7 linked regions of the Macaca fascicularis genome follow. The protein of the gene in region 7 purifies or fractionates together with the protein of the main gene of each other region. This does not show direct contact. Links are inferred from orthologs where the notes say so. Each region holds a gene or a part of one and is shown on either strand. Other genes may lie near its edges. The genes, in order: MAGOH, SREK1, SRPK1, U2AF2, GPATCH8, HNRNPC and RNPS1.

What was found.
Region 1: the proteins of RNPS1 (region 7) and MAGOH purify together in Homo sapiens (co-immunoprecipitation; 3 studies listed by BioGRID and IntAct, with this or other methods). This does not show direct contact. The link is inferred for Macaca fascicularis from reciprocal best matches to the Homo sapiens genes RNPS1 and MAGOH.
Region 2: the proteins of RNPS1 (region 7) and SREK1 purify together in Homo sapiens (affinity purification with mass spectrometry; 3 studies listed by BioGRID and IntAct, counting the BioPlex papers as one, with this or other methods). This does not show direct contact. The link is inferred for Macaca fascicularis from reciprocal best matches to the Homo sapiens genes RNPS1 and SREK1.
Region 3: the proteins of RNPS1 (region 7) and SRPK1 purify together in Homo sapiens (co-immunoprecipitation; 5 studies listed by BioGRID and IntAct, counting the BioPlex papers as one, with this or other methods). This does not show direct contact. The link is inferred for Macaca fascicularis from reciprocal best matches to the Homo sapiens genes RNPS1 and SRPK1.
Region 4: the proteins of RNPS1 (region 7) and U2AF2 purify together in Homo sapiens (co-immunoprecipitation; 6 studies listed by BioGRID and IntAct, counting the BioPlex papers as one, with this or other methods). This does not show direct contact. The link is inferred for Macaca fascicularis from reciprocal best matches to the Homo sapiens genes RNPS1 and U2AF2.
Region 5: the proteins of RNPS1 (region 7) and GPATCH8 purify together in Homo sapiens (co-immunoprecipitation; 4 studies listed by BioGRID and IntAct, with this or other methods). This does not show direct contact. The link is inferred for Macaca fascicularis from reciprocal best matches to the Homo sapiens genes RNPS1 and GPATCH8.
Region 6: the proteins of RNPS1 (region 7) and HNRNPC purify together in Homo sapiens (co-immunoprecipitation; 3 studies listed by BioGRID and IntAct, with this or other methods). This does not show direct contact. The link is inferred for Macaca fascicularis from reciprocal best matches to the Homo sapiens genes RNPS1 and HNRNPC.

The regions. Positions count from the first base shown.
Region 1 is NC_088375.1:181,434,038-181,438,411, reverse strand, and holds the start of MAGOH (protein mago nashi homolog), read right to left. Parts: upstream 2,858-4,374; 5' UTR 2,788-2,857; coding exon 2,700-2,787; intron 1-2,699. UniProt on the Homo sapiens protein: Required for pre-mRNA splicing as component of the spliceosome. Plays a redundant role with MAGOHB as core component of the exon junction complex (EJC) and in the nonsense-mediated decay (NMD) pathway.
Region 2 is NC_088380.1:71,863,003-71,867,457, forward strand, and holds the start of SREK1 (splicing regulatory glutamine/lysine-rich protein 1), read left to right. Parts: upstream 1-1,608; 5' UTR 1,609-1,685; coding exon 1,686-1,846; intron 1,847-4,455. UniProt on the Homo sapiens protein: Participates in the regulation of alternative splicing by modulating the activity of other splice facors. Inhibits the splicing activity of SFRS1, SFRS2 and SFRS6. Augments the splicing activity of SFRS3.
Region 3 is NC_088378.1:135,782,432-135,786,188, forward strand, and holds part of SRPK1 (SRSF protein kinase 1), read left to right. Parts: intron 1-675; exon of another isoform or gene 676-677; coding exon of another isoform or gene 678-703; coding exon 704-822; intron 823-2,662; coding exon 2,663-2,771; intron 2,772-3,470; coding exon 3,471-3,558; intron 3,559-3,757. UniProt on the Homo sapiens protein: Serine/arginine-rich protein-specific kinase which specifically phosphorylates its substrates at serine residues located in regions rich in arginine/serine dipeptides, known as RS domains and is involved in the phosphorylation of SR splicing factors and the regulation of splicing.
Region 4 is NC_088393.1:63,608,276-63,612,823, forward strand, and holds the start of U2AF2 (splicing factor U2AF 65 kDa subunit), read left to right. Parts: upstream 1-1,741; 5' UTR 1,742-1,817; coding exon 1,818-1,866; intron 1,867-4,548. UniProt on the Homo sapiens protein: Plays a role in pre-mRNA splicing and 3'-end processing. By recruiting PRPF19 and the PRP19C/Prp19 complex/NTC/Nineteen complex to the RNA polymerase II C-terminal domain (CTD), and thereby pre-mRNA, may couple transcription to splicing.
Region 5 is NC_088390.1:65,460,657-65,464,413, forward strand, and holds part of GPATCH8 (G patch domain-containing protein 8), read right to left. Parts: intron 3,068-3,757; coding exon 1-3,067.
Region 6 is NC_088381.1:88,872,743-88,876,499, reverse strand, and holds the end of HNRNPC (heterogeneous nuclear ribonucleoproteins C1/C2), read left to right. Parts: intron 1-828; coding exon 829-942; intron 943-1,183; coding exon 1,184-1,344; intron 1,345-1,443; coding exon 1,444-1,527; 3' UTR 1,528-3,342; downstream 3,343-3,757. UniProt on the Homo sapiens protein: Binds pre-mRNA and nucleates the assembly of 40S hnRNP particles. Interacts with poly-U tracts in the 3'-UTR or 5'-UTR of mRNA and modulates the stability and the level of translation of bound mRNA molecules. Single HNRNPC tetramers bind 230-240 nucleotides.
Region 7 is NC_088394.1:3,040,556-3,044,884, forward strand, and holds the start of RNPS1 (RNA-binding protein with serine-rich domain 1), read right to left. Parts: upstream 2,947-4,329; 5' UTR 2,889-2,946; coding exon of another isoform or gene 2,887-2,888; 5' UTR 1,695-2,886; exon of another isoform or gene 957-1,694; intron 1-956. UniProt on the Homo sapiens protein: Part of pre- and post-splicing multiprotein mRNP complexes. Auxiliary component of the splicing-dependent multiprotein exon junction complex (EJC) deposited at splice junction on mRNAs.

The sequences.
Region 1 (4,374 bases), on a different chromosome or scaffold from region 7:
ATAACTTACCAGCACATAGGACCTCCTGAGGCTCAAATGAGTTGTGAAAACATTTTGAAAACTGTAGGATGCTGTTTACATATATTATCATGTGACTGTGCCACACTCTATTTCTGTGATGGAAAAGTTGTTGCTTTTATCACTGAGCACATTTGGTACACAAGACCCTTTGTCCATGTGTGCGTCTAACAGGTTAATGTGAATACATGGTGGGGATGAGGAGAAGATAGAAGGAAACAGAAGACATGTAGACTAGAAGACATACATGTGAGATGAGCCCAGTGAATTTATTCCAACAGTCTCTGTGCTGTCTCTCTGCCTCAAGTTTCTTCACATTCAGTTCACTGTCCATATAGTGGACAAGGTGATGTGGTAACAGATCTATCAGATTAGGTTACTCTAATACTTTGATAAAGTCAATGGCTTTCCGCTGCCTTCCTGGTTAAAATCCGGCCGGGCGCGGTGGCTCACGCCTGTAATCCCAGCACTTTGGGAGGCCGAGGCGGGCAGATCACGAGGTCAGGAGATCGAGACCATCCTGGCTAACACGGTGAAACCCCGTCTCTACTAAAAATGTAAAAAATTAGCCAGGCGTGGTGGCGGGCGCCTGTAGTCCCAGCTACCTAGGAGGCTGAGGCAGGAGAATAGCGTGAACCCGGGAGGCGGAGCTTGTAGTGAACCCAGATCGCGCCACTGCACTCCAGCCTGGGCAACTGAGCAAGACTCCATCTCAAAAAAAAAAAAAAAAAATCCAAACTCCTCAACATGGCATACGGCTAAGCAAAGCCCCTGCCTGCTTTTCCAGCCTCACTCCTGCAATATTCTTCTCTCACACAGCTGGAGTCGAACAACTTGGTTTCTGCCTGAAACATCCCAAGCACTTTTTGGTTTTCAGCCTCTTTGCATGCTGTCTAAAATGCCTTCTTGACTCTTCTTGGTCTCCTAATCAATACCTCACATCCCCTCCTCCCATCATTTTATGTAGGAAGCCTCCTCTGACCCTCAGGCTTGGCTAGGTGCCCCTTCTCTGCTGCAAGTCTCCTCTGTTTCTTTTTACCACAACACCTAATACGCTGTTTGGTCCCTGCTTACAAATCCATCTCCCTCACAGTCGGGGCCTGTCAGATACATCTTTGTGGCCCGCTTAATGGATGTTTTCTGTCATCTTTGATTCCTCTTTCCTTCACCACAGTGCCTCCGCCAAAAAAATCCTATCAACGATCAAAGTCCAGTTGATTCTGCCTCCAACAGTTTCCTAAATCTTTCTCTCCATTTCTACTATCTCTGTAGTCCCAACCGACATCTTTTTTTTTTTTTTTTTTGTGACACAGTCTCGCTCTGTCACCCAGACTGGAGTACACTGGCACTATCTCAGCTCACTGCAACCTCCGCCCCAGGTTCAAGCGATTATCCTGTCTCAGCCTCCCGAACAGCTGGGATTACAGGCATCTGCCACCACGTCCGGCTAATTTTTGTATTTTTAGTAGAGGCGGGGTTTCACCATGTTGGCCAGGCTGGTCTCGAACTCCTAACCTCAAGTTATCCGCACACCTCGGCCTCCCAAAGTCCTGGGATTACAGGCGTGAGCCACTGCGACTGGCCCCCAACATCTTTCTTGTCTTGACAACAGTCTCCTAATCAATAGCCCTGTTTTCACTGTTGCCCATTCCGCACCCAATAACCAGAATGCTTTTTCAAGAACAGATCACATTTCTTCTCTGCTTAAAACCTTCCAAGCCCGGCCAGGCGCGGTGGCTCACGCCTGTAATCGCAGCACTTTGGGACACCGAGGCCGGCGGATCGCCCGAGGTCAGAAGTTCGAGACCAGCCTGGCCAACCTGGTGAAACCCTGTCTCTACTAAAAATACAAAATTAGCCGGGCGTGGTGGTGGGTGTCTGTAATACCAGCTACTCGGGAGGCTGAGGCAGGAGAATCGCTTTAACTCGGGAGGCGGAGGTTGCAATGATCCGAAATCGCGCCATAGCATTACAGCCTGGGCAAAAAGAGCGAAACCCGTCTCAAAAAAAAAAATAAATAAAATTAAAAAAGCCTTCCAAGTCCAAACTCTTTACCCTGGTCTATAAAGATCTACAAGGTGCGGCTCCTACTACCTATCCGACATCATCTCCTGCCATCTCCCAGCTCACCACTCTTCAATCACACTGACCACCTGAGACATGCCTAAGCTCATTCCCGCCCTGCAGCCTTGACTTCTGGTATTCCCTTTGGGTAGAATGGTCTTCCTTGTGAGCTTCACAAGGCTGGGTCCTTCTTGCTAATTAGGGCTCAGCTGCAATATACCATTAGAGCTCTCTAATGGCCAACCTATCTAAAAGCAGCCCATCCAGCGATTCTACCATATTTTCTGACCACTCACTGCTATCCGGAATCATCTTTTTATGATCTCTCTCCCAGCAGTAAAACACAAGTTCCACGAGAGAGGAAGTTTGTCTATCTTCGCTGTCGTATCCCCAAAGAGTGGAACAGAGCCTGGCACACAGTGGGCGTTCAGCCAACGTTTGTTGTATGGATAAAACGACGCCGTGGAGCAGACACAGTGGCGCTCCTTTCAGATCCGCACTGCACAGGTCTCAGCCCCTTCCTCCTCTAGTTCCCCACAGATTTCCGACCCTCGGCCTCCCCACTCGCCCGCCCCAAGGCCTGGTCCCGCTCCGGGCGGGCGGCAGGCTGCTTTTACCATCCGGTCGGAACTCAAACTCCAGGAACTCGTGGCCGAATTTGCCCTTGTGCCCCACGTAGTAACGCAGATAAAAGTCACTCTCCATGGCTCCCAAAAGACAACCGAGCCTGAACTTCCAACAGCAAGCCGCACTGCTGCGGTCTGCGCCCGACACTGACGTTTGCGGCGGCGCGCGGAAGTGACGTCAGATTACGCCGTCGCGTAATGGAGGGGTTCCTTCTAGCTAACCTATTCGCCCGGAAGTGACAACAAGACTGCCACACCCTCTCACGCCTAGGAGGTAACGAACTTTGTTTAACCCGGAGGCGGGGCCAACCAGCTCCGCTTCTCCACTTGGACGCGGGAGCGAGGTTGAGGTTGGTACCCGCTGGGTTCTCTCCCGGCCTGAGGCCGAGAGCCAGCCGCCTGCCTACCTCTGGGCTTTGAACGCGGGGTCTGGTGACTTCGCTTAAAGATCTCGGACCGAACACCCCGAGCCTTGCCCCCGCCAGGCTCAACCTCAGTTCACAGGACCCCCGACTTGTGTGAGTCGTACACCGCTCTTTACCGTCTCTGGACCTAGGTCATCTCGGCAGTAAAATGGGGTGAAATGACCCGACCTTCCCGGAGGATGCCGCGCACGATGTGTGTGCCTCAAGATGGCTTCCGTTGACCTGAACTGTTAAGAAAGCCCTCCTCAGTGACGCCTTCCCTGAATCCACAGTGGAGATTGCCGTTTCCCTGGAACTAGTTCACCCACACTTACCCATTTCGTCCTTTTCCACCTTTTATTTCTATCTTTCTGCCCCACTGATCTCTAGAATAGGTGCTGTGAGAAGTTAGAGTATTTGATCTCCCACTCCCCAGTCATCCCACTTACCGAGCAGTGATTCTCAGCCTGGCTGCACATTGGAATTACCTGGGGAGCCTCTAAAAATACTGATGCCAGGGCTCTACCCCAAGCCAATTAAAATCTCCAGCGCTGGAACTGGGCATTGGTACTCTTTGTAAAGCTCTCAGTTGAGGACCACTGACCAAAGAGACTCTTTTCAGAGCAAAGTTGTCCTCTGTGAAGCCATTCTGGCTCTGGAAAAAATTTACAGTTGAGTAGGGCCAGAGCAATCAAGATCATAATTATTTAATAGGAGCCTGCTCTCACTCGTCTAAGTTCCACACTTAGAGAGAATGAATGGTTCTAGAGACAGTGCTGAGATGACATCATTCTTGGGGCCTGGCAACTAGAACAGTATAAGATTCTGTAAGTCGGGACAGCAGTCTCTGATTCCTACCCCCAGTCTTTTTTTTTTTTTTTGAGACAGAGTTTTGCTCTTGTTGCCCAGGCTAGAGTGCAACGGCTGGTTCTCAGTTCACCGCAACCTCCACCTCCTGGGTTCAAGTGATTCTCCTGCCTTAGCCTCCCAAGTAGCTGAGATTACAGGCACGTGCCACCACATCCAGCTAATTTTTGTATTTTTAGTAGAGACAGGGTTTCACCATGTTGGCCAGGCTGGTCTCAAACTCCCGACCTCAGGCGATCCATCCGCCTCAGCCTTCCAAAGTGCTGGGATTACAGGCATGAGCCACCGTGCATGGCCCCCAGTCTTAACAATGAGTCCTTTTCTCCCTGAAAAAGCATTAGCAGCAGAGTGTAGAGTAGGTGTGGTGGGGGAAAAAAACCATTGGACACTGGTTA
Region 2 (4,455 bases), on a different chromosome or scaffold from region 7:
CACCCTCAAGTAGACCAGTGTCTGACGTTTCCTTCTTTGTGATCGTGAGTTTTTTGTGTATTCAATCTGTTGTGATATGTTTTGGTTGAAATATATGGGGGAAATCTGATCTCAAAAAGATAAGGTGTTGGAAAAAGGAAAACTATTTTATAGCCTTTCCAAGTAGTTCTAGATATTATTCTTTGATACTGTACCAAACTTACATGTGGTAGTTTCTTAGCCTGCATTGCAGTGTGGACTGAATCTGAAACCACTTCAATTAAGTACTGAAATCCAACAGTCTATCTTGCACATACCAGAATCTTTTTGCCTTTGTAACGGCACCCACTGGCCATTTGAATAATAGGTGTCCACTAAGTTGTAAAAATCACAAAAATGTTGACATATTTCATTATATAATGTCAAAAATAAATTGTTAATATCATGCTTCTCTTACTAGAAAAGTCTCTAAGTACTGGAAAGCTGTCAAGCTTAAGTTGGTGGATACAAGTGTAACAAAATTTGTATTTTCCCGTGAAAATTCAGAGCTACACTAGTGCTTTTTCCGGAGACAACCATTTCACTTGGGCATGTAGCGGCAGTAGTTTCCATTTTTTCACACATATTCTTTAAAAGACGTGTATGCAAGGATGGATTTGAAAATATATATATAATTTTTAGTTCTTTATGAAGGACATTTTTAAAGTGAAACTAGCATATTTTAAAACCTGAAATGTTGTATGATGTGAAGAATACAAAATGCAACTACCAGTACAGACTGGCGCCACTGCCTTGATTGCTGTTAAGGTGTCAGCAGTTTAATCTTTCACGTTACTAGTGCAAATGTCAACAAAGTGAAAAAGGTCAACAAACTCTTAATATTATTATGAAAATCGTTTTGACCTTGCCAACCCACTGAAAAGGTCTCGGTACCCTTAGGGATCTGCGGAGGGCATTTTGGGAGCAGCTGCCCTGGACTCACTACTGTTGTCTCTCATTAGTTTGCAAGTTCTATGTGAACTGTCTGTAACGTGCCCTTGCCTCATAGTGCCTGGGACATAGTACTCAATAAACATCAATACCTGTGGAAAGAGCGAGTAAATACAGGTTATAAACCTTCATCTTACTGCCTCTTTCCTTAATTCAACCTGAACCTACACATTTTGTAAAATTTTGTTTTTTTCACAATTAGGACGCTTGCCAATTTTTTTAAATAGTTGGAGTTGGGGTGCTGCCTGTATGTGATAAGGATGCCCTATAGTTTGGTCAAGTGTTTTTCTGTGTTACCCAAGAGTCATTCCTCCTTTACAGTCCCGCACCAGCAGGCCAGGCCGCTTGGTTTCCCAGTCCGAGACCGGAAGGAACCGGGTAGACAGGAGCACAAGATTCGCATCGACTTTTGGGGAAAACAAAAACACCGAAAAACAAAACACTCGCGGAGAAACCAGCAGCAGCAACAGCCCCAGGCACCCGGGAGCAGGAAGCCGCAGCCCCGCGAGACCCGCCGGGTTGCCGGGGCGACGCTTCCGGCTGGCGCGCGCAGCCCCGGGAGCAGGGGAGTTGTGAAATGGGCGGCTAGATCTGCCCGGCGCTGTGAATTCGCCAGCGGGAGCGCGCTCGCGGCCGCGCGTTCTCCGCTTTCCCGGTTCCGTCGCTGACGCGTCGTAGACGTTGGGGAGCGGGAAGGCAGCGGCAGCGGGGTCGGGATGAACAGCGGCGGCGGCTTCGGTTTGGGCTTAGGCTTCGGCCTCACCCCCACGTCGGTGATTCAGGTGACGAATCTGTCGTCGGCGGTGACCAGTGAGCAGATGCGGACGCTTTTTTCCTTCCTAGGAGAAATCGAGGAGCTGCGGCTCTACCCCCCGGAGTAAGTGCTGGTGCTCGGCTGGGGGAGGGGCGCGGGCGCCATAGAGACCTCGGGAGCCGAGGCGTGGGGGAGAGCGCGGACGCGGGCGCGCGGTGCGTGTCACGTGATCGCCCGGGCTTACCTTAGTGCCCATATTTGATTACGGCACCGAGTTCCGCCGTCCGGCTCTCCTTACTAGTCGGATTTGGGGGGTTAACTACTGCACGGAGCCCTTACCAAGGATTTAGAATGGTTGCCCTTTCCGTGCCTCCGGGACTTGTGTTAGCTCATGGGTCTTCGAATTCCGTGCCCCCTCCTCCTCATTTCCCCCCGAACTTAAGATGGCCGCAGGTGGGCCCGGAACAGCCTTATGGCAAACGCCTCATCGCGTTTTTGCACTCTGAAAATCGCGGGGACCGCGCGTGAGCCACTGTCCGGTTTTTAAGGCCTTGGTGTCAGGCCGTTTTGCTGACGAGAAAGCCTGCTGCTGATGACAAGATGGAACTGGGGCTGTATTTGTTTCCCAGGACGGTCACACAAAACTTAGCATCTTGATTTATCTAACCGAGCGCATCCATGTTCCCAAAGATATGTCTGTTCGCCGTTTTGGCAACAGATTAAATTTTTCTCCTGAAAGGTCACACTGTCCCAGAGCTTTCAGAAAAAGTGTCAGTCGGTGCAGGGTTATCCCTGCCGTATACATTTAAAATCCAGATCTTGGCTGGCATTCACGGCTCGCGGCCACTTCCCAGATGGTGTATTTTGGAATGGTAAAATTTCCCTCGTACGATATTATCTATTTAGAAAACTCGCAAGGGGTTTGCAGGTTGTTCACATTCTTGCACACATAAACATTTTTTTTTTTTGATAGTAGATCTTACAGTATTAAGATCCTCTGTTTTTTGTTCGTTATATCAAAATCCTTTGAGGGAAGGGGTAATTGTTACCCAAGATTTCTTCCTTTAAAAAAGAAATTGATTTATTTCCTAGTGATGCATTTAGACCTGTTTTTCTTTAGTTTTCTATCTTAGGTTATAACAGTGCTGCTGCATAGCTATGTAAAAGTTGTGTGGTTATTTTTTACTTTTTAAGTTTTTCTTGTCTGCTTTTTGTTTTGGAATATTTCATCCATACAGAAAAGTTGAAAGAGTAATACATTGAACATCCATGTTCCCTTCACGAGCATTTTGTCTTTTTTTGGCTACAGTTGATTATTAAAATTTCCCCAGTTATTCTAATAATGCTTTTTTGTCTGTTTTTGATGTAGTATATAATTAGATATACTGTCTCCCTTGAATATGCCAAGTAATCCACGTATTAATAGTTATCTCCTTTAATCTGGTACAGTCCCGTCACCTTTTAAAACATTTGAAAGTCGTGACATTGACATTTTGTTCTGTAGTTCATTTTGTCTTGTAAAATGACCCATAATCTGAGTTTATATAGATGAGATATATAGAGATATGTGCATATATATCTCTCTCTCTTTATATTTCTTCATGACGAGATTCAGGTAGTACATTTTTGACGAGAATACTGCATAAGTGCACGCACATACATTTTGATTGATTAACCATGGCATTATTGCTTTAATTAACTTTTGGAAATGCTTTCAGCCATCTCAATTTAAGCTCTCAGAACATTTCTTAATAATTGAGAATTATTTGGGGTGAGTGCCGTATCCTGCAGGCATTGGAATCAATCAGTAAAATATTTTGTACATGAACCTTTGTAAATCTTGCTTTCAAGGCTGTGGTAATATGGTATCTCATAGGTAGAAGAAATACATTGCAGAATGTTCTTCATTATCAACATAACATTTATTTGGTTGAAACCTGGGTTTGGGTGACAACACATTACCAGTTATTAACTGACAGTAATGGGCTACTTTTTTGAAATCAGGTGTTATTACTTGGAGTTTAAAAGTCAAAGAGAATAAAAAGTACTTAAACATATGGAAGATTACGGTAGTGTGTGTCACAAACTGTAACACATAAAACAAAATTATTGCATACATGTAACATATATGGGCCAGGCAAAATCCTTAACTAGTTTTTCCGTAAGTGCAATACTAGATCCCTCATTCATGTTTTAAAGCAGTATTAACATGCTTTATTCACAGGTTTTCTGCTTCGTAATGAAGTTGTCATTGCCTGGTCCTTATATTAGAAGACGTGTTTGCAGATTTGGACCGAAATGGATAAAAATTGCAATAGTAGTAGTTGTATTGAAAATATATTGTTTTACAGTGTCACATAAATTATTTTATGACATCTTTAGAACCGAGTAGAAAATCGTTTTAAAATTGGAAATATATTCATATATTTATTTGCATATATATATTTCCAAGTATATTGGAAATACAGTAATAGAATGTGAAAATAGTTTCTCATTTAAATTTTATGATTGAGCCAGGTGTGGTGGTGTGCACCTATAGTCCTAGCTACTCAGGAGGCTGTGGTGGGTGAAAGCATAGCTTGAGCCCACGGTTTGATTCCAACCTGAGTAACATATTGAGATCCCTATCTCTTAAAAACAAAAAATGACTAAGTTGCTAATATGAAAATTCAGATTTTAAACTTAATTCTTTTGGCATGATGCAGTGATTGAGTTTCATCTTTATATTTTAA
Region 3 (3,757 bases), on a different chromosome or scaffold from region 7:
TTTTTTTTTTGGAGACAGAATTTTGCTCTTGTTGCCCTGGCTGGAGTGTAGTGTATCTCGTCTCACTGTAGCCTCCACCTCCCAGGTTCAAGCAATTCTCCTGCCTCAGCCTCTCAAGTAGCTGGGATTACAGGTGCCCACCACCACACTGGGCTAATTTTTTGTACTTTTAGTAGAGATGGGGTTTCACCATATTGGCCAGGCTAGTTTCAAACTCCTGACCTCAGGTGATCCACCCACCTCGGCCTCCAAAAGTGCTGGGATTACAGGCATGAGCCACCATGCCCAGCCTGCATGTTAAGATTTAAGAGATTTCATAGAAATTAAAAAAGTTTATGATAGAAAAAGCCAGATGCAAATTTGTTTATATAGTATGTGATTACAGATAAATATTTTTATGAAGATACAGCAACATAGTGGAAGAAGATTCAGTAGTTTATCAGTGATTATGTTTGGATATTGAGATTCAAGTAATTTTTCTCCTTTGTACTTTTTAATATTTTTCAGATTTATCATGTACTGAAGTTGTAAAGTATTTTTCTAACATGAGGTAAAACTACAGCTAATGTTTTCCTAGGCAGCCACTTGGTAATACTCTGTTCGTATTATCTGAAGATTTAGTTTTTTGTGGGGAGGGCGGCATTTGATAATGTCTTATTTTCTTCTGTCCAAATGGAATGGGCATTTTTGTATCATTTCTTAGATCTGAAACTCAGCACCGAGGCTCTGCTCCCCACTCTGAGAGTGATCTACCAGAGCAAGAAGAGGAGATTCTGGGATCTGATGATGATGAGCAGGAAGATCCTAATGATTATTGTAAAGGTAAGTTCATAAGGAGGTATGAAGTGAGACATGATCCATCTATTTGCAGTTTCTCATTTGGATGTTTGATCTATCAGCATAAACACAGTTTTATTGGTGTTTACTTGTATCCTTTTCTCTAAAACTTAGGAAATAGTATTTGTTCTTAGTCTGACTTAATTTATCAAAGCCTGATTTTATATTAAATGTTTTTACCTTTTTCCTCTTTAAAAGTTATAATACATATTTACCTTAGAAAATTCCAGAGCTGTGTTAAACAGAAAAGAATGTAAAAGCCTTCTGCAATGCTATCAACCACATATAACCATGGTAACATTTTGGCATATAGATTTTTACAAAATACCTTCTTACTACTTTTTTTCTCATAGTGATGGCTGTTAAGTTAAACTGGAATTACAGACACTTAAATGGTGTCATCAGGTTGCCTGTTACCTTTTCTGTTTCTTGATGAGACTTTCCGGAGTCTTTGGGTAGGAACACAAAATGGAATGTATCATACCATCTAGGAGAAGAACGTGGCCCTTATTGTCAGCTGGCAAAGATAAATATGAAAATACCTTGATTCTTGCCACTGTTGGCAGCTTTTTTGAGGCCTTCCTCTGTTTTCTGCTTTTTAGGGTTTTTTTTGTTTTGTTTTTTGAGACAGAGTTGCCCAGGCTGGAGTGCTGTGGAGTCTCAGCCTACTGCAGCCTCTGACTCCTGAGTTCAAGCGATTCTCATGCCTCAGGCACCCACCACCACGCCTGGCTAATTTTTGGGTTTTTTTGTTTGTTTTTGTTTGTTTTTTGTGTTTTTGTTTTTTTGTTTTTGAGAAGGAGTCTCGCTCTGTTGCCCAGGCTGGAGTGCAGTTGGTATGATCTCAGCTCGCTGCAACCTCTGCCTCCCGGGTTCACGCCATTTTCCTGCCTCAGCCTCTAGAATAGCTGGGACTATAATCGCCTGCCACCATACCCGGATAACTTTTTGTATTTTTTCAGTAGAGACGGGGTTTCACCGTGTTAGCCAGATGGTCTCGATCTCCTGACCTTGTGATATGCCTGCCTCAGCCTCCCTGCTGGGATTACAGGCATGAGCCACCTCGCCTGGCATTTGTTTGTTTGTTTTTGTTTGTTTTGAGACAATCTCACTCTGTCGCCCAGGCTGGAGTGCAGTGGCACGATCTCAGCTCACTGCAACCTCTGCCTCCTGGGTTCAAGCAATTCTCCTGCCTCAGCCTCCTGAGTAGCTGGGACTACAGGCACGCGCCATGACACCAGCCAATTTTTGTATTTTTAGTAGAAGACACGGTTTCACCATGTTGGCCAGGCTGGTCTCGAACTCTTGACCGCAAATGATCCACCCTCCTCAGCCTCCCAAAGTGCTGGGATTACAGGCGTGAGCCACTGCACCTGGGCTATTTGTTTTTATTTAGAGGAACAAAATCCCGTTTGCTTACTTGTTTTTGTTTGTTTTGTTTTTTGCTAAATAATTATTCTGTCTCCTAAAAAACACCTGAGACTGTAATTATAAATAGATATATATTAGATATATATGTTTAGATAAACTTACTGGATTATTGAGAGACAAGAATATTGTGATATACAACCTTTTTATTGTTTTTGGATGAGCCTGTTGTAGGCTCAATCTAAATCATTAATCTTATTCACTTTTTTTATAACATGAAGTCAGTAATACTATGTGGCTGATTTGACTATTAAGGCTTTCTTCTGTTGAATTGATTGTATAAAAGAAACTTTTTGTTGATAAAAGGTATATAGATGTTGAAAAATGTGATGTAAAAATGCCTTTTCTTACCATTGTTTCTCGTCCTGGTTTTTCTGATTTCCCCTGTGTCTTCCAGGAGGTTATCATCTTGTGAAAATTGGAGATCTATTCAATGGGAGATATCATGTGATCCGAAAGTTAGGCTGGGGACACTTTTCAACAGTATGGTTATCATGGGATATTCAGTAAGTTTTAGTGGTTCTGTAAAAAAATTAGTTAGATGATGTCTAAATATGTTTGTCTGAGTTTCCACTGCTGATCCAGACTTCAATCTATCTCTAGCCTGATACATTTATCAGAATTTTGTTGTTGGCAATAGTCTCTATATTCTTGGAGAAATCACTTTTCTTTCGTGAAGAATCGGTATTATATATCTCCCTTTCTACTTTAGAGACAAGAGTGATTAAATTAATGCTGGTAAAGCTTTTGTCGTTTGATTTTTTTGTTATTTTTATCGTTTTCTTTTCACCCAAATATTTCTTCTGGCTGCCTGTGGGAAAATATTACAGCTATTAACCTTTTAGTTTTTGCCTATATACAGATACACAGAACACTTGGAATTTGGTAATATCTTTCCCCTTATTTATCCTCATTTTGAAGTTTTGCTTGAAATTCAGGGAGATATTCAAAAGAAGGATTTTAACTCAGAGAAAATGTTCAACAACTGAGATTATCTGAGAACAGATCTTTTATTCTTCCTACAAATGAAATCTGGCCAGTTAGCATCATTAACAAGTACAAATGTTCCCATAGAAGTAGCTTGTTTGGGCTACAGGGAAACATGAAATCAGTATTTGTCCTTTTTAACCATCTTATAGCTAAACCTTAGCTTCCTAAAGTAAGGGTAGGCTATGTAGTCTTAATTGCCTGTGTTTGTTTCTTAGGGGGAAGAAATTTGTGGCAATGAAAGTAGTTAAAAGTGCTGAACATTACACCGAAACAGCACTCGATGAAATCCGGTTGCTGAAGTCAGTGAGTATTAGATTATATGTATGAATGCAAAGAATTATAAATATATCAAGTTTCATTGAATTAAAGCACACCAAGTGGAGACTCCTCAGCATGGATAATTTTCTCTATAAAGTTCTAGTATCCTTAAAGAGGTTAAGGAAGACAACAATATTTACACATTCCATGCATGTAGTAGGGAACTGGTGGGAAATGCTATGAT
Region 4 (4,548 bases), on a different chromosome or scaffold from region 7:
CAGGCGGGAGGCCGGGTAGGACAGGGTGTAATTAGCCCCCCGGAGGCAGAGACGGAGAAACAGCTGTGCCCCTGAAATCTTGGAGGCAGAGCTCTGGAAAAGAAGCGCGGACACAGCCGGGTGCGGTGGCTCACGCCTGTAATCCCAGCGCTTTGGGAGGCCGAGGCAGGCGGATCACGAGTTCAGGAGATCGAGACCGTCCTGGCTAACACAGTGAAACCCTATCTCTACTAAAAATACAAAAAATTAGCCAGGTGTCCCAGCTACTCGGGAGGCTGAGGCAGGAAAATCGCTTGAACCCAGCAGGCGGAGGTTCCAGTGAGCCGAGATCTGGCCACTGCACTCTAGCCTGGGCGATAGAGTCTCCGTCGCAAAAAAAAAAAAAAAAAAAAAGTAAAAAGCGTAAACGCTACCCGCTGGGCTACCCGGACCAGTGAGTGGCGCGAGAGGCGGGACTCGATGACCTCGAGCAGGGGAGGCCACCCAGCGGCCAGGCCAAGTCTGGGGGATTCTTCCGTCCGGCCGCCAGGGGGCAGTAACGCCAGATCATCTGTCTCCCGGAAGGACTGCGCGATCATCCATCTGTTGCGCCTGCGCGACGGGAGGGGCCGGAGCGCGTTGATGCGGTTGCCAAGACAACCAAGAGGGTGGCCGGATTTAACCGTTGGGGATTAAGCACTTTCACTCCAGGAAGGGAAAATCTCGCGCACGCGCAACGGGGACTGAAACCTGGTCCCCGCAACCCCCTTCACCGGAGCAGTGGGAGAGCGCGCCACAGAGACACTTACGCAGGCGCAGAAGCCTGTTTCCCCCTCACCCGCCGCTTCCACCCTGCGCAGGCGCAAAAAGCCGCGCTGGCAACCTCCGCAGCGGTCGCGCGCACCGTTCACCCCTCTTGCTGCTTTTGTCTCGCGCAACCTTCTCAGGCCCTCCGCGAGGCCGGTCCTTTTTTTCTTTCACTTTCCCCACCCGGAGAGCCAGGTGCTGAGAACCGGTACCTCGTCTCCTTCTCTGTATCCCTTCCCCTGACCCACCTCGCCTCCGTCCTCCCTCCCTTTTCCGTTCCCGAAGCCGGAAGGAGCCGAAGCACCCACGAAAAAAGCCGAAGCTGTCCCCGGAGAGTGAGGCCTTCACGAAGCGGTGGCGGAAGGAGCCGAAGTTCTCTGATCTGCGGAGTGAGCAAGTGGCATCTCCGGAAAGAGCCGAAACTTGGACTCGAGCTTAATCCCAGGAGGGGCCCGAGGGCGAGCTCCGGAAATCTCCGGAAAGAGCCGAAGGCCGGGACGGTTAGGATTGTCGGAAGTGGCCGATTGCTTGGACAGGGCCGGCGGAGAAGATCGGAGGAAATCCGTGGAAGCAGCCAAAGACTGGGACGGATTGAATTGTCGGAAGAACCCGAACTCGCAGAGGGGGCTGGGCGCAGTGGAACACGAGGACACACGGAAACCTCCGAACGTTGAGGAGATAATTTTGGAAAAGTTACGGAAACCTGGGAAGTCGGCGAAACCCTACCTTCGGGTGTTTTCGGAAGCAGTCGCAGCTGCCATCTGCGTCTCCTTCGTCCAGTGTCCGGAAATAGCCGACGCGCTTCGGAGCCAGGCTCGGGGGGAGGGGCAAGCTCGCGGGCGGGCGGGCGGGTGAGGGGGCGGAGCCCGGGCGGGTGGGGAGGGCTGCCGGAGGCTTGATTAGGTAGGAGGTGGCGAAGCGCCGGCGGCGGCCGGAAGTAGCCGAAGCCAGCGGCGGAAGTAGCCGAAGCGGCCGGAGCGGGCGGCAAGGCGAGGCGAGAGCTGCACAGGGCCCTACGCGGCCGCCTCAGCATGTCGGACTTCGACGAGTTCGAGCGGCAGCTCAACGAGAATAAACAAGGTGAGGGCGCCGGGGTCGCGGGGCGGAGGTGTGGGCGGCTCCTCGCGTCGCTCTTTGCCCCCCCGCCATTTTCTCCCTCGCTTCCCCCCACCTCTCACGGCCGTGCGACCCCCCCCAACCCCGGTTCCGTGGCGCGCGCCTCGTTCACGTGACATCCCCAGCGTTCGGCCGCGCGCTAGGCGAGGGGAAGGGGGCGGCAGGGCGCGGGCCCATGACGCATGCGCACGGCGGCTGTCCCCGTGCCCCACGTGGTCCTGCCGGAGGTGGCTCGGGGGACGCGGCGCGAGTGCGCCAGGTACCTCGACGTGAACTTTTGTTTTTTAAAATCTTTTTGTATTCTCTGAAAAGGAGATTATGTTAGGCCCCGTAATCCGTTCTTTTTCTCCCGCTGCCTTGGCACTTCCGCTTCCGGTCGGGCCCACGGCCGCGTCTCCACGCCCCCTTTGTTTCCAAAATGGCGGTTGTGAGGACTCGGGGGGGCCCCCCTTTCCCTCCTTCACGTGGATGAGGACAGAGCTGTTTCGGGGGACTCTTGGAGGCCACGAGCCCGTCTCATACCCCTTTTCCTTTTTGCTGATTTGCTGCGACCTCTTCTGCCAGGTGGTTTCTGCCCCGTCTGTTGGTAGTGGGGCGCCTCATATTAACGTGTTGGGCGCATGTTCCCTGAAGCATCTGCATTCTTTGAGTGTCGGCACGCACACATCCTGCATATGCGGAACTTTTGGCGGTCCCGAGAATCGCGATATGGAGTGTTTGAGACAAACCGCAAATCATGTAGGATCCCAAACTCGGGGCACCTGATAATACTCAGCCTCAGATCTCGATGTAGAGATAAGGAAACAGGTTCTGAGGGAGGAAGAGGGATCTGGCCCACTGCGCTAAACTCTTCACTTAACGGGGAAGGTGGGAGGCAGGTTCCTTTCAGGGTATCGAGAATGTGATGGGTGAGAACAAAAAGCGTGGGGCCCTGCTGATCTTAGGGATTCCGAGAATATTAGAAGTGGGAGAGTTGTTCCATGTTTCAGTTTGAGAGTGAAGAAACACAGGACTAGGGAAGGTTGGGGACTTGTTTCATTTCTTTTGAGGCTTCAGCTGCCCATGATCCTAGGTCGTTCGGAGGACGAAATGAGGGCTAAGGAATTTTCCTTTGAACCCAGGGGCTGTATTAGGAAACAGTGCCCTGGGGAAGAAATAACGTTTACTGAGGGTCTGACTCTGTCTTAGGTGATGGACTGTTCAAGAGCATAGGCTTTGGAGTTGAGCACATCAGGGATTTAGATACTTGCTTTGTTGGTTAGTAACTACTTTTAATACGTTTATCTTTCTTTTTTTTTCCTATTTGTAGACTGATTATTATTTTTTCTCACTCGGTTTTGAGAAGATTAGTAAGGATTATAGTAACGATAGGTGTAGTTAAACTCTGAGCGCTTATGTGTGCCAGGCTCTTCGCTAAACTCTTAGCGTGATTTTATTTAGGGGATCCTTGTAACAGCCCTGTGAGGTCAAAATGATTTCCACCTCTACTGGGGAGGAAACTGAGGGCTCAGAAAAATTAAAAACTTTCTCAGGGCTCAGCTAGTCAGAGGCAGAGCTGAGATTAAATGGGGTAACGTAAAGTGTGTGGCATGTGGCTTGGTGTACACTAGGTGTGCAGTAAGCGATATTTGCAATTGTAAAATTCCATGCTTAAAGAGGAGGGTCTTCCACTCACAGAGATTGTGTCACAGTTGGGAAAGGGCAGGAAAAGGTGCTTTCCAAATGTCATTCTGTCACACAACACCTGAGTGGAGTAGATGTGACCCTCGTTTACAGAGAAAAAACCAAGTCTTAAAGGTTAAGTTGTTTTTGCATGGTTTTTGTTGGTAAGCAGAAAAGCAGGTACTGATTCTGAGCTCTGGCTGGCTGCAAGGCCAGGTTCCACTCTGCTGGGCCACCAAGTGGAGCTGATCGGGCCGTTCTTTGAGGCTCTCAGATGGTGCTTCACTGGTTCTCCCGGGGTTTCCCCCTTGGTGCTGATAGGGCCCTCCCTGAGACCTGGCACGGCTCCTGGGTTGCCGGAGCTGCTCCCATAAGATGACCACAATACAGTGTTTTGAGCAAATGAAGCTCTCTTGGTTTTTACCTGTCCAGCATCAGTGTGTGGGAGAGGGTTCTTGTCATAGGGGAAGCTCTGCCCACGTGTCACTCTGCCTGTGGGTCTTTGTGGAGGACGCATCAGCCTCTGTACCTGTCGGCTTCTGCTTCAGTCCCTTCCTCTGCTACCTGTGTCGATAGGGAATTTCCTTGTCTGTGTCCCAGGCACCCAACGGGCGTCATTGCTTTCTCTGCGTGGCTTCCTCTCTGCCTGCTTGCCTGTTTCAGAGCCTTAGCAGCAGGAAGGGCTCTTGGGGCTCACAGCCTGTCCATCTTACAGGCGTGGAGTTGTGCCCAGTGCCGTGCCTGCGTGCTTACCCTGCTGCTCTGCACTGCTGGCCTGTCCTGCCAATTGTTCCTCCCAATTTCAGTTTTTGATTTTGGGGTTTTTGGCCTTCGAGGGGACAATTATATTGTCATTAGTGGTTCTAGCCAGACTTGAGTGTTCTGCCTGATCCACATTCAAGAGTATGACTTGGTGCCTAACTCACTGATGTTTTAGTGTTTACGTTCTGGTATCACCATTTCCTAGCTGTCTGGCCTTGGGCA
Region 5 (3,757 bases), on a different chromosome or scaffold from region 7:
GTCAGTGTGTGCTGGGGTGCCTAGTGGAGCCACAGGGTGATCAGCAGTAGCTTCTTCAGACTTTGGCTCTTCTGGGGGTGGGTCTAATAAGGGGCCAGTTGTTTCCTCTGAAGGGAACTGATGCCCAAATAGGGCATCACTACTCCCTGAGGGCCCCTCTTCTGTCTCTGACTGTTCTTGCTCTTCCCCCCTTTCCAAGCCAGACTCTTCACATTTCTTATTGGGCTTTCGGGTAGCTGGGAGCTTCCCTATCAGTGGAAGGACAGGCTTATTGCCAAGAGATGGGGGGAGCTTGGGCCCAAAGTAACCTTGTGGGGGGTCCTTGAGCTTGGGCCCAGCTTTATTAGGGGTGGCCTGCACCTCCTCACTCACACTAGGTTTCCTCTCCACTTTCCTTGACTGAATCTTCTCCAGTAGCAGTTTGGCAGTAACAGAGTTCTTGTCTTCAGGACTGCAGTCACTTTCTGACCCTCTTCCTGTGCCAATGTTGCTGTTCTGGGAAGGTGGACCTGTTGCTTTACTGTCATCTCCTCTGCCATCATCTTTCTTCCCAGGACCTTCTCCCCGGCCTGATCGGAAATAGTGGGGGGACTGGGAGCGGTAGATCTTAGAACGAATGAAGTCCCGACGCCCAGAATGCCTCTCCTCAGGGCTCTCATGACCCCATGATCCCTTCCTGGAGCCTGATCTTTGGGAAGGGCTCCTGGTGCTGCGACTGCGGTCCCGGCTATAGCTCCGGCTCCGTTGCCAGCTGTGGGCTGTGGTGCTACGGCTTCTCCGCTTGCTCCGACTACGACTACAACTGCTGCTTCGGCTGCGGCCCCGGGATCTTGAGCGCTCTCTGGTATGACTCCGAGATCGGCTTCGGGACTGGCTGCAACTGAGGCTATAGTCATCGTCAGAAGATGAGTATTTGTGCCGTTTTGATCGATGTTTGGAGCTGGCATAGTCTGAGTCATCCGAGTCATGGGAGCGCTTGGAGTGCCTTCGTGATCTGTCGCTGTAGTCACTGTAGCTGTCATCTGAGTAACTGTGCTGTCTACTATAGCAGCTCTGGTCTGAAGAGGCATCTGAGCTACTTGAGTAAGAACGCCGGGAAGAACGATGTGAGGAATGGCGCCGGCCTGACCTTGAGCGGCTGCGGGAATGCTCACTGCCTGAATCTTCTTCTTCTTCCTCACTGTACTGGGATGGAGACTTCTGGTGCAGTCGGTGTGAGGAAGCATCATCACTATCCTCATCTCCACTACTGGGTTGGCTCCGATGGCTAGACCGGCTGCTTCGTTTGGTGCCTGCTCTTCGCTGGCAGGATGAAGGCGGAAGTTCACCTTTGTGTTTCCTCCCACTATGGTCTTGGGAGCTGCTACCACCCCCACCTTCCTCCTTTTTGCCACTGCTCCCCTCTTCAGCTGGGAGGGATCTCCGCTGGGAGTCATCTTGAGCTCGTCGCCGCCTTCTTGGAGGTGCAGGACTGCCACTCCCAGGGGGTTCTGGTTTGGGTCCTCGTTCAGAATCTGCTGGGGCTGATGACTTATTCTTCTTTCGTTTTCGTTTCTTGCGCTTCTTAGACTTCTCCCCCGACTCTGCCTTAGAGCTTTTCTCTTCTGTGTCACCCTTGTGTTTACGTTTGTGTTTGCTGGATTTTTTGTGCTTCTTTTTCTTTTTGTGCCGGTGGGACTTCCCAGATCGTTCTTTCTTGCTGGGAAGGCTTCTCCCTGTGTCTTCTGTCTCAGACCCATGGCTACCCCCAGGCTCCTGCTTGTTCAGGCTACTACAGGCAGACCCTGAAGCAGGTGCGTCCATTCTGCCTCCTGAGGAACGTACTATTTTCTCTCCGCCCACTTCCTTGTTTTTATTTGGCTCACCAGGATCTAGGCCTTGGAGATGGTCCTTTGAGGAGCTTCCTATATCCTTTGGTTTTTCTGTCCCTTTAGTTCTGGCATCTTTGTTCCTTGAAAGTTTAAAGTCAAAATATAAAGGGTTACAACTGTATGAAATGGAGGGTTCTGCCTTGGTGAAAATTAATAGTTCTGATGGCCACTGGAGGGCAGTGCTTTCATCTTTGCTCAAAACTGGGAAGAAGGGACCAGTAGGATGTTTGGGTCCTTCTTGGCTTTCTTTCCCTGCTGGGGTGGCCAGAGAGGTTTCTTTAGAAGAGTTGGACTCACACGTTTGGGTCTCTGAAACCTTCTGACTATGACTCTCTAAACTCTGATCACTTACATCCCCTCCTAAGGCCTTCTTTGCCTCAGGTTTGCTTCCTGGTTCTGAGGGCTCGGTCATGCTGGTTTCCTTCGGCTGCTCAGAGACTTCACTAACTGTCTTTTCTGCTCCTTGGCTTGCTGCCGCCTTGATGCAGCTTTTAGGCTTGGGAGAACTGCCTTTTTTACTCTCTGGGGCATTCTTTGGGTGTGTACTATTATCACCTTCCATTTGTTCACTGGCTCTCATAAAAAGTAGGAAGGGAAAATTAGGTTTTACTTTGCAGTGTGCTGGGGGGATGTAGTGGTAATATTCCGGCTCCGTAGCCCCAGCTCCTTCTTCTCGCTTCATCCTTTTTAATTTGGATAATGTTGAGGCAAGGGACCCTCCATCCTGAGGGTCTTCATCCTCCTTTTTACCATCAAGATTACTGCTCCCATCAGAGTCTCCTACCTTCTGCAGTCCTTGGTCAGAACCCTTCTCATCAGGTTTTGTTCCATCTTCAGAGGTCCCTTCCTCCGCGTGGTCCTTGAAAACTGATGCTATTGATTCGAGTTTGACAGGAGCCTTCTTGGCAAAAGAAAATGACACTCCCAATTTTTGCAATGGGGTCCCCAGATTATTCTTAATGCCAAAGCTGATGCCTTGGGAGGCTAACCCAGGAGCCTGGGCCAGTCCAGTGGTATTAGTGATTTGTACTGCAGTGAAAGGGCCTCCTTTATCTGTGGAAAATTCAGATCCCAGGCCACAAGAAACAGTGGCACCTGTGCCACTATTTGTAGCTGATTCATCTTTATCATCTTCTCCACCTTCTTCATCTACAGCCACTGTGGTTGGTTTGAACATGGGACCACTTCCAGGTGCACTACATGACATTTTAGAAAAATAAAAAGCAAAGAAAAAGCAGGTTTAGGACTACATTCCATAAACCTTATAAAATACTAATCTCTTATATCCTATCATTCATTATAGGTAGGTCTCAAAGACAGTGAGTGGTGGTCATATTCCCTAGTCCTATACTAACAAACGCGACTTTCTCAGAGGAGGTTAGACAAAGACTCATTCTGTTAACCTGCCAAATTCCCAGGGCCAGTCAGTTATTACTGTTTTTTCTTAAGCTGTCTAAAGTACAAAAAGCTGGGTGTGGTGGCTCACACCTGTAATCCCAGCACTTTGGGAGGCCAAGGTGGACAGATTGCTTGAGGTCAGGAGTTCCTAACCAGCCTGGCCAACATGGTGAAACCCTGTCTCTACTAAAAACACAAAAATTAGCTGGGCATGGTAGCACGCACCTGTAATCCCAGCTACTTGGGAGGCTGAGGCAGGAGAATCACTCTAACCTGGGAGATGGAGGTTGCAGTGAGCCGAGATCACACCACTGTACTCCAGCCTGGGTGACAGAGCAAGACTCCCTCTCAAAAAAAATAAAATAAAATAAAGTACAGGCCGGGCGCGGTGGCTCATGCCTGTAATTCTAGCACTTTGGGAGGCCAAGGCGGACAGACTGCTTGAGCTCAGGAGTTCGCAACCAGCCTGAACAACATGGTGAAATCCC
Region 6 (3,757 bases), on a different chromosome or scaffold from region 7:
GAGACCAGCCTGTCCAACATGGAGGAACCCCATCTCTACTGAAAATACAAAAAATTAGCCAGGGATGGTGGTGCATGCATGTTATCCTAGCTAATTGGGAGGCTGAGGCAGGAGAATCGCTTTTACCTAGGAGGCAGAGGTTGCAGTGAGCCGAGATTGTGCCATTGCATTCCAGCCTGGGTGATAAGAGCGAACTCCATCTCAAGAAAAATAATTTTAAAAATCCAAAATAATGGAGGAGACGAGATTGTGACTGAGTGGCCAATTCTAGACTGCAACAGCTAGGTGATTTGAAAGATGTCATTTGACTTTATTTAGTTGAGGTGTGTGTTAAGTTTCTGAGGGTTTTTTTGTGGGTTATTTAAAAACTAAAATTCAGATAGTGTTCAATATATTGATTTTTAAACTTTTCTGTATTGAACTCCTGTAACTGGAAATATGGAAGGCAGTAAAACAACAGAAGGTCTGATGCAGTGACTTACGCCTGTAGCCCCAGATGCTTAGGGGGAGGCTAAGACCCTGGGGATCTAGGCTGTGGTGGGAGGATTGCATGAGGCCAGGAGTTCACTGTGATCATACCTGTGAATAGTCACTGCACTCAGAACTGGGCAATGTAGCGATAACCCAAGTCTAAAAGATACTAAAAAAAAAAAAATTACAGTAAGTAGTTATAAGCTTTATAGTAGAACCAAGGGCCTTTATTACAGGGAAATCTGTACTGGCTCTGTTTCTCCCTGGGTGCTCCTGATGTAGTCTAGTGCCAGTGTATTTGCTAACTCATATCTTCTGTACATTTGATTTTAATCCATTATTTTGTTTATGTTAAAGTGAAAGGAGATGACCTTCAGGCCATTAAGAAGGAGTTGACCCAGATAAAACAAAAAGTGGATTCTCTCCTGGAAAACCTGGAAAAAATTGAAAAGGAACAGAGCAAACAAGCAGGTAAATGGGTTTTCTGCTTGTTGGGTATATAGTTGGGTTAGTTACGTAAGGCACTTTAAAGTATATGTTGGAATAGTGGAATATAAAGCAATGTAATATGAAACTTGGGGAGTGTGAATTGGGAAGGGTATTTGTGTGGGAGGATTTAGATTTGTGCTGCAGTTCTGTGATCCTTAGTGGGGATTGTCTACATCCTGTGGACATTACTGCCCCTAGACAGACTTGTCCTTCTCATCCCCAGTAGAGATGAAGAACGATAAGTCAGAAGAGGAGCAGAGCAGCAGCTCCGTGAAGAAAGATGAGACTAATGTGAAGATGGAGTCTGAGGGGGGTGCAGATGACTCTGCTGAGGAGGGGGACCTACTGGATGATGATGATAATGAAGATCGGGGGGATGACCAGGTGAAAACCACGGGAAAGGAAAGAAAAAGGTGGTGGAGGGGGGCTCAGGGACACATGGAGTGCCTCTAACTCCATCCTATTTGTGTCTGTTTCTCACAGCTGGAGTTGATCAAGGATGATGAAAAAGAGGCTGAGGAAGGAGAGGATGACAGAGACAGCGCCAATGGCGAGGATGACTCTTAAGCACATAGTGGGGTTTAGAAATCTTATCCCATTATTTCTTTACCTAGGCGCTTGTCTAAGATCAAATTTTTCACCAGATCCTCTCCCCTAGTATCTTCAGCACATGCTCACTGTTCTCCCCATCCTTGTCCTTCCCATGTTCATTAATTCATATTGCCCCGCGCCTAGTCCCATTTTCACTTCCTTTGACGCTCCTAGTAGTTTTGTTAAGTCTTACCCTGTAATTTTTGCTTTTAATTTTGATACCTCTTTATGACTTAACAATAAAAAGGATGTATGGTTTTTATCAACTGTCTCCAAAATAATCTCTTGTTATGCAGGGAGTACAGTTCTTTTCATTCATACATAAGTTCAGTAGTTGCTTCCCTAACTGCAAAGGCAATCTCATTTAGTTGAGTAGCTTCTGAAAGCAGCTTTGAGTTAGAAGTATGTGTGTTACACCCCCACATTAGTGTGCTGTGTGGGGCAGTTCAACACAAATGTAACAATGTATTTTTGTGAATGAGAGTTGGCATGTCAAATGCATCCTCTAGAAAAATAATTAGTGTTATAGTCTTAAGATTTGTTTTCTAAAGTTGATACTGTGGGTTATTTTTGTGAACAGCCTGATGTTTGGGACCTTTTTTCCTCAAAATAAACAAGTCCTTATTAAACCAGGAATTTGGAGAAAAAAAACCCTGGTTTTTTATTTTTGTATTTTATTATTGTTTACTTCAAACTTTGTTTTACAGCGTCCTCCACAAAACCTCTAGAATGTACTAGATACATTTTTCTTGGAGTCATAATCATGATACATACCAACACAACACTACTCAAATTATATTTCATTGAGTTGCATGTTGCATTGAGGAGTCAAATAACTTGACATACAGTGGCGATTGTTTTTCAAAATGGCTTTTACATCCTAATGAAAGTTCAGTGCTTTGTGGTCCAACTGGCACCCTTTTTGAGGTTTTTGTTGTGTGCTAAATTGCTTTGTCCTTAAATAGGAGAGACTCAAAAACAAGATTTCAGGAAAATTGCAACAGCTGGACAATGGAACTCCCTGCTTTCTTCTGTTTTGTTCTTTTAATTACTATTTATAGCCTCAGTTACCTTCTGAATTCTGAAGTGTATATCTCCATGTTACTGAAAACGAGAAAACTCTTATTTCCTGATACTCCACAGTCTTGCCTTCCCAGGTGATTGAGAACATAAAGAATGTTACATTTATTTTACCCTAAATGATCTTTTACCCCTATTAGCTGATCTTTGTGTTTTCCCTCAACTTTATTAATTACAGTTATTGTATTTTTAGCATCCAGTCTTACTTAAAATGAATATATTAAACAGCTACCAGTGTTGTGATACCTCATCCTTGAAAGGCTTAATTGATTTGTGTTTTAAACTTCAGTTTTTCCAGCACAGCAGAAAATGGCGTTTATAATTTTTGTGCACACAAACCTTGGATTCCCCTATAAAGTTGCTATTGTTTCATAGCATGCAGCACTGGCCTTTTTTCATCCTACTCATTACAGGCGAAACTCATGTCTTATTTATAAGGATTTTATAGATCATTTTCTATATCAGGTGACAAAAGCAGAAAAGAATGAAGAGGCTGAACTATGAACTACCCTTGGAGCCCATATACATGATATAGGCAATTTCTTTTGTATGTTAATTCAGTCAAAAATACTACCCACTTGATGTTTTCTGATCTGATGTGAGCTCATGTTACATAGACTTTTAGTAAGTAACCCATGACTAGAAAATAAACTGGATGCTTAGGAGAGAGTGTCAGATGTATAAGATGCTAATAAAACATGTTTAATATTATGTTGTTAGCTGTAAGTTTTTGGGAAATACTGGAAAAATTAGTCCACAATCAAGTGTCTACTTTTCACTTCACTGTAGGGCCTCTTTCCCCGCACAGAGCAGTCTATTTAGCTGTGAATACCACAATCTGCAGATGCTCAAGTCCCTTACATAAAATGGCATAGTATTTGTATGTAACCTATGCATATTCTCCTGTATACTTTAAATCATCTCTACATTAAAATACCTGATAAAATGTAAATGGTATGTAAATAGTTGTAACTACTTTTATTTGTATTGTTACTTTTTAATTTTTTTTTCTTTACTAGTATTTTCGATCTATAGTTGGCTGAATCTGCATGTGTAAAACCCACGAACACGGAGGGCCAACTATACATTTAATTCTGTAGGAAAGCAGATATTGAATGAAGCTGTG
Region 7 (4,329 bases):
TTGTGGCAATTTGCCTTTAGGATACACGGATGTGACTGGAAGCAAAAATCATTTCAAAAGTGACTGGTACCAGCATTAAAACACTTAATACCCAAAAGCAAACAGATGAAACGTACCATATGAACATTTAAAAAGCAGAAGAATCATTTTAAAAAGCAGTAATTGCACTGTACTTTAATAATATGCATATTGAGTGTAGGGGAAAATACATGCAAGTCTGCAATTTACTTTGAAAGAAAAACTAAGATTGAGAAAAACTAAGATTGAAAGAAAAACTAAGATTGATAAAAACCATCTAGCAAATACAGCAGAAATATAACTTACAGACTCTTAACCTCTGAGTTTTGTTTTGTTTTTTTTTGAGATGGAGACTTGCTCTGTCACCCAGGCTGGAGTGCAGTGGCACGATCTTGGCTCACTGCAACCTCCACCTCCTGGGTTCAAGCGTTTCTTCTGCGTCAGCCTCCTGAGTAGCTGGGACTACAGGTGCTTGCCATCAAGCCTGGCTAATTTTTGTATTTTTAGTAGAGACAGGGTTTCACCATATTGACCAGGCTGGTCTCCAACTCCTGACCTTGTCATCTGCCAACCTTGGCCTCCCAAAGTGCTGGGATTACAGGCGTGAGCCACCAGACCTGGCCCTTAAGTAGTCTTTATGTGGGTATTAATTGTATAATTTGACGTTCCTGTGCTTTAAAAATTTTTCAAAAATAAGATGAAAAAAAAGTAGGCACTGAAATTGCATGAGAGACTGCCTGCCATGTAAGAGTTTAGCAAAATGCCTGGACTGCAGAATGTGTTCAAATAGCGGTTACTCATTACTCAAAAGCAAACTAATTAGTTATGGGCCCTATTTTCCAGGGACGCCTTCAGTATTTCCAGTAAAGTTCTGCACAAGCTGCAGGAGTTGTTAAGTGCAGCTCTCAGGATGTGAGTCTCAGCTACTTCTGTCTCACCTTCTCCAAGAGCCAGTTGGTAAGGAGGACACAGCACACCAATGGGGTCCTGGTTTCCCTGTGCAGTACCTGCCAGGGGTGCTTCAAAATGCTGCTGAAAACGTGTTCTGACCCAAGAAAGAAAAGCACCTGGCTTTAAACAGTCAAATGAGCCAAGGAGGGCCGAACACCACCTCTGCTGCTCTTGTCCGGGGGTATCATGTTTTGCTTTAGAATAGTAAGGTTCTGCAGACACCCAGCAGATAGTGCCTCGACACTGTTGGTGTCCTCGGACAGTCAGTGAGTATCATTCAGAGTATAATTCAGAGTCTGCAACCAGAGGGCCTGGGTTTGATTTGAGGTTTTACGGTGTAATTTTCGACAAGTCACTTAACCTTTCTCAAGTTTCTTATCAATATGGTGACAATTACAATTCCAACTTTATAGTTACCCAGGGCATTAATGAAAAGCTCAATAATGTTAGGAGCAAGATTTGTAAAGGCTCCTCCCTCCCCCAGACATTTGTCTCCAAAGTCACACGTAATTTCTGAACTCTCAGCAGGGTTCCTGCACTCATCTGCCTTAGGATCACCTGCAGCAGAAATGTCCAATAGAAACAGTGTGAGGAGCCACAAGCATCACCTGAAATTCCTTAGTAGCCACATCACAAAAATGGGTGAAATTTTTAACACTTGACACATCCAAAATATTATCTTTCCAACATATAATCAACATAAAAATCTACTAATAAAAGTTTACTTTTTTTTCATAGTCTTCTAAAACTGGTATGTGTTTTAACATTTCAGTTTTGATGAGCTGTATTTCACATGCTTAGTAGCCACATGTGGCCAATGGCTACTTCACTGGACAGCACAGACCTAGAGTGGAGGTCACACCCGCAGATTTCAGCCCCACCCCCCCAGACTTAAAGATCTGCCCAAATGTACTTTGTGGAATCAAACACCACCAGTTATTCTCAAGCAGTCCAAACACTAAGAACCACTGAGTAAGCGGACGGCTCGCTGGGTGCGGTCGAGTGCTAGAAAGCAAAAGTTGAGGTTCTCTGTTCACCCAAGTTCAGGTACCGGCTCAGGACCTCGGTTACCTCCCCCATCCTCCGGAAAGGTGCGCGTCCAACAGCCAGAGAGAGGAGAGAACAATTAGTTAAATCTCGAGGAGAGGGCGTTTCGGCATAAATCTTCAGAGCACCTTCCCCATTTAAGAGTACATTTCAGGCACAGTTCATGAGAAATCAAGACAAAAAGCCTACTCCACGTTTCTCCTCCATCAACCTTAACCTTCCCGTATCCACCCCTCTGGGATAACCCATCAAACTGAGCTCGGACACCGTGTTCGGTCCATAGTGGGCCGTATCCCCACGGCCTAGCGCCGACAATTGCACACGGGAGTCCGGGAAACGTTCGCGGAGTACACGTTTGAATTAATGACTCCGAAGGATGGATCGGCCGACCTTCCACCGCATCCCACAAAGAAACTCCGCGCCCGCCGGCACCGGCCCGACACGCCGACCTCGCCGCTCCCCGTCCGCGTTCACTCACAACTTCCCCGTCCAGGCGCCGGGCCGCAAGCGCTTCCAGGGCAGCGCCTGGCGTTGGGGGCTTGGGTCTCCGGCCCGGCGGGAGGGCCCCAAGAACGGAGGCCGCGCTCACCGCTGCTCCGAGTCCCGCGGGCCTGGCTGGGCCACCGCCGAGCGGACGAAGCAGAGGCGCCCTTCCGTCCGCGGCGGCCCCGATCACTTCCGGGCCACGGCCTCGACACCTCCCACTCCGCCCGCCCCGGGCCACACTCTTTCTTCTCGGAGCCCGCACCGCGCTGCCAGGCCACCGCCGCACTGCGGGGCTGAGAAGTGGACCGGCTTCACGATGCGTCCTGCCGGGCCTGACGGGCAGCCCCCGAAACACGGATGCGGTCGGATTCCGCCCCAACTTACATCTTCCCGCCGCCACCACCTCCTCCTGCTTTCCTCAGCCTCCGAGGCCGGCGCCGCTCTGACGTCAGAGTCAAGGAGCGGGAAGACGCCGCCGTCCGGCGCGTAGCGATGACGTAAACGCCTGGCCCAATGGGCGCCGGCGGGGAAGTGTTAGACAGTCAAGGCAGTTTGTGGTAGCCGCGTTGGGGACGTTCAGGGTGTCTCCTCGCCGGTAAAGTCCCTGGGACTGACCGGACTGGCTGCACGCTTGCTGGAGCGAGCACATGGGTAGCCTGCTGAGCCTGGGAGGGCCGCGCGATAACCGATGCTCGTCGTCCGGAGCGGAGGGTGTTATCGCGGCCGTGCCCCGCCCCTTTCCTTGCGCGGGCTCCCTGGACCCGCCCGGGCCGATTCTGGCCCCTGTCGCCGGCGGTGGAGGCGGGGCTCCAGGCCCGGCTGTGCTGAGGGCGGCAGGGTGGTCGCACAGGAGGGGTGCGCAGCCTTTGCGGCCTTGCGTGGCGGGGCGTGGGGGCCTGCAGGGCGGAAGTAGCTCGGAGAGACGGGCTGGGGCAGGACTTGCGTTCCTGCGGTCAAAACCCACTGGTGGCGTTTGGGGTGCTCTCGTGGACGCGGCCTCCGCGCAGGCGGACCTCCAGGGTGGGCGCTGCAGGCGGGCTGTGCGGGCAGGAAGAGCAACGAGCTTGAGGATGGGAGATGGGGTGCAACGGGGGGCGTCTCCGGGCAGGTGACACTGCCGCTGAGACTAGAGTGGAAGGGCGCGCCCGGCGGGGGAACAGCAGACGCCGAGGTTCGCTGGAAGCAGGGAAGGGAGGCCGGGGCACAGGCTCGCAGGCCCGCGCCAAATTCTCAGTGGAGGCAGCACGGAGCGTGTGAACGGCGCAGCGCCGAGGCTTCATCTAACGGCCGGTGCAGGGTCCGAGCAGGGAACACTGTCGACCAGGGTCCGACTCTGGGAGAGTCCAGAGGTGGCGCCTCTGGCAGGCACAGAGGAGGGGGTGACGCTGTAGGGGCCCAGGCAGGAGGCTCCGCGTCAACGCCCCACACTGACGCGGCGGAATTTTTTTTTTTTGACAGAGTCTCGCACTGTTGCCCAGGCTGAAGTGCAGCGGTGCGATCTCGGCTCACTGCAACCTCCGCCTCCCGGGTTCAAGCGGTTCTCCTGCCTCCGCCTCCCGAGTAGCTGGGATTACAGGCACACACTACTACACTCGGCTAATTTTTTGTATTTTTATTAGAGACTGGGTTTCACTATGTTGGCCAGACTGGTCGCGAACTTCTGACCTCGTGATCCGCTCCTAGGCTTTCAGGCTCGCTCCAAAAGTGCTCGCTCCTAGGTTCGCCTTGGCCTCCCAAAGTGCTGGGATTACTTTACAGGCGTGAACCACCGCCCCCGGCCGGGTTTTGTTCACTGCTGTGCCTGTTAGGTAGTCGTTGCCCTTTGAT